Nothobranchius furzeri: one gene and its partner. The protein of the gene in region 2 purifies or fractionates together with the protein of the main gene of each other region. This does not show direct contact. Links are inferred from orthologs where the notes say so. Each region holds a gene or a part of one and is shown on either strand. Other genes may lie near its edges.

Region 1 (3,171 bases), on a different chromosome or scaffold from region 2:
CATTTTTCTTCTTTGTCTGGGAGATGAATAGTTTTGTTACAGACTGCAGAGAAACAAAATAATGCTGCCTGGTTAGACGTATGATCAAGCCCCCGTTCCCCACAAGTAGATCAAAGATGTGTTTTTGTCAAGTCTTGCACTATATCTCAAAATGTTGTGGAACAAATTCAGACACATCAGAAAAAAGACTTTAGATCAACAGGACATCCTACTGTTAAGTGACCTTTGCTCAGATCTCCTTTGTTGTGAAGTATTGTTAGCTGTGTTTATTCAACAATTGGCTGTTTATTATAAAGTGTACCATTCTGCTCATTATTTCACCTAGTCTGACAGGAAAGATCGTGTCCTTTTAGCAAATCACTACTTTTTATTAACTTTGCAGTCTAAACACCCACAACACACATTTTATCAAACTATACATTTCTTTATTAGATAAACTTTTCTCAGGAAAACTGGAAAGTTATAACTGCTTGATTTATTCAGACAACACCTGTTAACTTCATTGAATAGAAACACACACCACCACCTAGTGGCCACCTTTGACAAGTTTATTTTAGACAAATTAGTGAAACAACAAAAACCCAGTTTCATAAGTAAAATTAAATATTATTTAAAAAACTCAATTAAATGACTAACTATATACACAAGAAAAACCATAGAAGTTGGACAAAAGGGAATAGAAAATTAAATTTCTCCTTTTAAAAATTATTACTACAGCAAGATATCATTGCTGACTAAGCATCGCACCGCATCCAAAAGCATGTCAGGAGTATGGCTAAATATGAAATTGGATGGACTGAGCATACATCACTTTAAGCATGTGACTTATGTTCAAAATAAGACAGATGGTGCTATTTTTACAGAGAGCCCCGAACACAGGCCAAAGATGTATTAAGTACAGAACAGGACAGCGCAGAAGTCACAGAAAAAAAAGTGCCAAAACAGATCAGAGCATGATCCCGATGAGTGTTTCAAACATTTGAGGTCTGTCTTCTGTCTTCAGTTTGTGCAGTTCTCAGAAGCCTGAAAGAATAACAATAAATATAGTTGTCCATCAATTAACAAGTTGACATTTTTAGCAAGTCTGCAAATGAATGTGTTCTTGGGAAACACTGAAGATGCTCCAAGCTCCAAACAGAACTCTAGCAACTTGCATAATAATAATATGCATAATAATTGTGTACCTTGAAAGACTCTGAAGCTCTCCGCAGCTCTTTGATGACTGCAGACAAGGCTTCAGGATTGATCCCTTGCTCACATAGTCTCACACATATGGACAGAGACTCCATGTCCAAACCAGTGTTCAACAACCTGGAGATCTCAAGCAAGACTGTTAAACGAGAACAATAATGAAACATGTTATTGCTGTGACAAGGTTAGAAGTTAGCTACAAAGCATGTGCGCTTTTACGTTTGTGAAGGTATTTTAAAACTACATGTTCTGCCACTTACGTGCCAAATAAACACTCACCATCCATTGTCTCCCGGACTGCGTTTAGGTTTGCATTTGCTGCACTTGCCATGGTGATAAAACGATGGTTAGCTAACGCTTCCTAGCAAGAGAAGTGGCTAACCAACAGCGTGTCTCTGACGTCACGAGTTAACAATAACTTGATTATAATAATAATGGCTAACGTATTTATATGTCACAGAACCCGATCATTAGAAACGGGCAAACAACATGTAAGCCACATTAGCACATATCTAACAACCTCACCAAAATTCTCACGTCGGTCAAAACTGGCAGCGGAAATAACGTTAAAATCGTCACTTCCTGCAACGTTTCTATTGGCTTGCGGGCCTAGGAGGAGAAATTGAAATTGATGTTTGAATTGTTTCTGTTTGTATGTTTTTCCCCGACCTGTTCCACATATTTCGATCAGAATTATTCGTGCATCTTCAAAGTTGTAAGTACAAATGGCGAGTGGACCGCTTCCTTTCTTTTAGCTAACGTACCGAACTTAACATCACATGAACGACAACAACTGTTGACTTGATCGATTTTCGCCTCGTTAATTCTGCATTTGAAGTGTTTTCTTTTTTATCTCGACTTTAGGCTAGATGGGGGACCACATTCAGCTCCAGATCACACCAGAAACTCCAGGCAGGTCTTCCATAAGGAACCCCTTCGAGAGTCCTAACGACTACCACCATCTGCGGGAACCCCTGGTTCCGAGTCCCTCTGTCTTCAAGTCAAAGACGTGCAAGGCTGTAAGTCTGAACACAAAACAGATCCACATTTATCAGGATGTCTGTGAAAAAATTTGAAATGTTCGTTAATTCTTCATAGTAGGCGTCCAAATGGAAAAAATAAGCAAACCTGTAACCTTTTACAATGGTTGTGATCAATCATTTGGAAGATGATCAACTTATTGTTGGGGTTATAATACAATTTTTATTATTTATTATAACTTATACAAAGTTAGGGGTGATTTTTTTTCATAGAAATTTTCGTAATCCTGAACATTTAACTTTACATAGACTTCATGTATTTCCTGTCTCTTCCGCAGACTCCCTCTAAGTTTAACTGGTCTATTGATGAAATGGCCAGTCTTCTCCCAGTGCACATAGACCCAGAGGAAATCCAGCGACAATCTCTCTACCTCAGCCAGACAAGGTGTGTGTTTGAAACTAAAATTCCTAAAGGAAGCACCGTTGACTGATGCAACTCAATCCATCGCACAATGACAGGGAAAAAGAAAGACTTTCAGAAATTAATTAATAAAACTCGGCTCTTCTTTATTTCAGGATTGATTCTGACATTGAGGAAAAATGTCAGAGTGCTATTGAGCAGGTATTGAATTAATCTAACTTATTCTGGTTTTGTAAACATAAATAAGCTTTTATTTTGATTATGTGTTGCTTGATTTCTTCCAATAAAGTTTTTCACAAAAGGAGCCATTGTGCCTTCCCCCTGGGCAGCACCGGAAACCCGCAGAGCCCCTCACCTGTACAATAAAAGTGTGTTATTTTATTGTTTATATTACTGTTTAAGTCTTAAATTTAGATTTACCTGGACTTTGCACATTTTAATCCGTGCTGGTTTATTTTATTCTGCTTTTGTCTTTTGACATTTAGGCCCAGGGTCTGCAACAATTTCAGAGGCGACAAAAACAGTCTCGGGTTGGTGTTCTTTTTTATAGAAGTGGATGATCTTTCTTCTTATGAACAC
Region 2 (4,175 bases):
AAAGGACTTGATAAAGAGTCTTGTGTCTTCACAGGCGTATTGCTGTCTTGTGGATAAGTTAAGGATACTGTTCAAGGTCATAGATACTCATATCGACACCTCCGGGAAATCAGTGGATCCCAGGAAAGGCGGGATAAGAGCAGAACAAGGAGAGGGTGATGACAAATTTCATGCAAAAGCCAGCTTGAACAAGACTGTTTTCAGCTGCTTTTTAAGGGAGACCACTGAGTCCACTGATCTCAGGTTCAGGGGGAGAGAGTTCCAGAGTCTGGGGACCACCGCAGAAAATGATCTGGCACCTTTGGTTTTCAGTCTGGTGTGCTGCACAACCAGTAGGCTTTGGTCGCTGGACCTCAGGGACCTGCTGGGGGTGTAGGGAATGAGAAGATCACCAATGTATGATGGTGCTTGTCCATGTAAGGCCATAAAGACCAGAACCAGGATCTTGAAAATGAAGTTGACTGGCAGCCAATGAAGCTGGAGGAGAAGCGGGGTGATGTGGGTGTGTTTGGAGGACTTGGTCAGAAGACGAGCACAGGCATTCTGAACCACCTGTAGACGGTTCAGGGAGGTTTTGCTCAGACATGTGAAAAGAGAGTTGCAGTAGTCTAAGCGTGAGGAGATGAAGGTGTGGAGATCTGTCTCAAGTTCAGAGCGGGACAGAATGGGACTCAGCTTAGCAATGTTCCTGAGATGGAAGAAGGACGAACGAGCAAGACAACTGACATGAGAATCCAAGGTGATAGCTGGGTCAGCATCTTGTGGGGCTTAAAGGAGATGTATGGTTGGATGTCATCTGCATAAAGATGTTAGGAGATTCCTAAATAAATAAAATAACTCTCTGATACTTTAGCACAGGTCCTTGCCCTGTATTTGTGTGCTTTTGTCCTTGCATGATTGCTCCTTAAACAGGAATCTGTCACATCAAAATCAACCTTTTTTTGCTGATTAACTGTTTAATTGAGTGTCTAATAGTGCTGTAGACGTGTAGCCTTTATTATTTTTTTTTTTGCATTTTGGCACATTGTCTTTAAAAAGGTGCTCACTGGATCTGTCTGAGTCCAATAACTTGTTCCCGTCCGACTGATGAATCCCTGTAGTGTCTGTTTCCAGTAATTGTTTTTTTCTATTGAACCATGCAGCACTAGCCAGGCAAACCAGACTAAATATATTATTAATGCAGCCCAATACTCACAGAACAACCTAGTGTGTACCTATAGGGGGCAGTGTGGCGCCGCAGATGTGTGAATACTCAAACGAAGAAGAACAATTTGAGTGTTGTTGGGCGCGTTTGTTATCAGCGCTATTGTTTTGTTTTTGATACGTTCACCAGATATTACGCTGACTGCAGAGTTTGATTACACCTTTCATGTAGGTTAGAAACCTTGTGTTGTTACATTTGCCTTTTGGCTAAGCTACACACAATGTAGCATCATCATGTAAGCTAGTTAGCAACTAGCCTTTAAAACGCGACATTTTTGTTTCTCATCGCCACGACAACAAGCTAATAAGTCTAAAATCGTTAAGTGGAGATGTATTTATTATTCTACGCTTTTTCGGATTATTTTTGGTACAAATCAGCGGCTCTAATTTCAGTTTGAATGGCACCATTGAGCTAAGACGTTGTCTTAGTTAATTTCTGATTTGCTTTAACTAAAATCACCAGGCGAGCTGCTGTCTGAGCTATGAGTGAATTCAGGATCCACCACGACGTGAACGAGCTGCTCAGCCTGCTGCAGGTGCGAGGAGGTGATGGAGCAGAGGGGTACATCGACTTACTGCAGAAACACAGGACTCCTTATGTTACCACAACAGTCTCTGCTCATAGTGCTAAGGTGGGAACACACACACACCAGGCATGTTAAAGTCCTTGATAAAAGAACCTCAGTAAATGATATCACTTTGACAGTAATTGGTACTGAAACTGAAAACAAGGAAAATATGATCCATATTTCAGAGAATGCTGATATTCAATACCCGATTTATCTTATTTCCACTAAAATGGGCCCCAGTGTTTACATTTACAACTCTAGAAGACGATTGTTGAATTTCATTTAAATAAACTTGAAATAAAATCTCTATGCTCTTGTAAACAAGCTCTTATAGTTGTCAAATGTCATACACATTTCTTTATGGGATTTAGTCAAAATACAAAATTACAAAAATACTAAACTAGCTAATTTTTTTGCAGGTTATTTTTAACCTCTTCTTTCATTGGTCATATGTCTTTGGAGAAGTTTATACTCAACAAGACCGACCGAGAGCCTTCAGTAACCAGCTGACAATAACACTACAGTGGTTTATCTCCTAATTGTACCACATGTGCATAAAATGGCTTTAGGTTAGGTAGAGCAGTGATGAGGAATTTTATCACATATGAACTCAGACTTTTGCTTTCAAATGGTCTTTTGTATCATTTTCAGGTGAAATTAGCTGAGTTTTCCAAAACCCCTGAAGACTTCTTGAGGAAGTACGATGAGCTCAAATCCAAAAATGTTCGCAACCTCGACCCTTTGGTGTATCTGCTCTCCAAACTCTGTGAGGATAAAGAGGTAATGCTTGAAAATTCCGTTTGTTTGGATAAGGGTTAATTCACTGGTATGAAGTTTTGTTCCATCCATCCATTTTCATCCGCTTATCCGGAGTCGGGTCGCGGAGGCAGTAGCCTAAGGCGAGAGGCCCAGACTTCCCTCTCCCCAGCCACTTGGGCCAGCTCCTCTGGGGGAATCTCAAGGTGTTCCCTGGCCAGGTGAGAGACATAGTCCCTCCACCGTGTCCTGGGTCTACCTTTAGGTCTTTTCCTGGTTGGACGTGCCCGGGAAACCTCACCAGGGAGGCGTCCAGGAGGCATCCTGACCAGATGCCAGATGCACCTCTACTGGCTCCTCTCGATGTGGAGGAGCAGCGGGTCTGAGCCCCTCCCGAATGACCGAACTTCTCACCCTATCTCTAAGGGAGGGCCCAGCCACTCTTCTGAGAAAACTCATTTCGGCCGCTTGTATCCGTGATCTCGTTCTTTCGATCACTACACAAAGCTCATGACCATAGGTGAGGGTAGGAACGTAGATCGACCGGTAAATCGAGAGCTTCGCCTTCTGACTCAGCTCTCTCTTCACCACGACAGACCGGTACAATGCCCGCATCACTGCAGATGCAGCACCAATCTGCCTATCGATCTCACACTCCAGTTTTCCCTCACTCGTGAACAAGACCCCGAGATACTTAAACTCCTCCACTTGGGGCAGGACCTCATCCCTGACCTGGAGAATGCATTCTACCCTTTTTCGAATCAAGACCATGGTCTCAGATTTAGAGGAGCTGATTCTCATCCCAGCTGCTTCCCACTCGGCTGCGAACCGCTCCAGCGAAAGCTGAAGATCACGTTCTGATGAAGCCAACAGGACCACATCATCTGCAAAAAGCAGAGATCTGATCCTCAGGCCACCAAAACGGATGCCCTCCTCACCTTGGCTGCACCTAGAAATTCTGTCCATAAAGGTTATGAACAGAATCGGTGACAAAGGGCAGCCTTGGCGGAGTCCAACTCTCACTGGGAACGAGCCCGACTTACTGCCGGTGTCGGTACAGGATCTGCTCGGGTGCTGGATCGGCTCGGGGTCCTTTGACTGCCGATGACGTCACATTACTGCAAATCTACTTGGCTTTCAAACATACGTTTTGGAAAGACATCAGCAGTTTTGTTAATAAATTCTTGTTTGTTAACACCTAAATGCTTTCTTTATAATTGTAATTTGTTAATAAAACACCATATTATCTTTGTTTTGTAAAGAATGTGAAACTGCATAAAACCAACATCGACAAAAAATAGAACAGTTCTTATATCTGTTTGTATTATCTGTATTATATCTGTTGTATCTGCCATATCTGTTTGTATTAATGTGGAGTTCGTATGTATATTTCCTTAGTTGTTATCTAAATACATTCTTTGACTCAAAATATTGCTTGGTGTCTTTCAATAAAGTTCTTATATTTTATTTTGCTCCATTTCATCAACATCAAGAGCTCTTGAGGGTCACCGTTTATCATTTGCTTATATTTTACATTTCCTTTAGAAATTCAAACATATTTTCTGCAAAAAGTGTTGATTTTTGGACTACAGGACTACAACCGCTAAGACTACGACCGCAAATTTGTTCTGACCAATCAAAATCATA

Evidence for each region. Proteins that work in one complex are often made in the same cells at the same time.
Region 1: the proteins of tubgcp2 (region 2) and mzt1 purify together in Homo sapiens (affinity purification with mass spectrometry; 4 studies listed by BioGRID and IntAct, counting the BioPlex papers as one, with this or other methods). This does not show direct contact. The link is inferred for Nothobranchius furzeri from reciprocal best matches to the Homo sapiens genes TUBGCP2 and MZT1.

Annotation. Positions count from the first base shown.
Region 1 is NC_091752.1:31,536,075-31,539,245, forward strand, and holds mzt1 (mitotic-spindle organizing protein 1), read right to left. Parts: upstream 1,760-3,171; 5' UTR 1,523-1,759; coding exon 1,471-1,522; intron 1,331-1,470; coding exon 1,185-1,330; intron 1,024-1,184; coding exon 1,000-1,023; 3' UTR 535-999; downstream 1-534. Other genes in the region: bora (protein aurora borealis), read left to right, coding at 2,061-2,210, 2,510-2,616, 2,748-2,793, 2,882-2,960, 3,078-3,122. UniProt on the Homo sapiens protein: Required for the recruitment and the assembly of the gamma-tubulin ring complex (gTuRC) at the centrosome.
Region 2 is NC_091756.1:50,614,423-50,618,597, forward strand, and holds the start of tubgcp2 (gamma-tubulin complex component 2), read left to right. Parts: upstream 1-1,234; 5' UTR 1,235-1,375; intron 1,376-1,666; 5' UTR 1,667-1,685; coding exon 1,686-1,835; intron 1,836-2,423; coding exon 2,424-2,552; intron 2,553-4,175. UniProt on the Homo sapiens protein: Component of the gamma-tubulin ring complex (gTuRC) which mediates microtubule nucleation.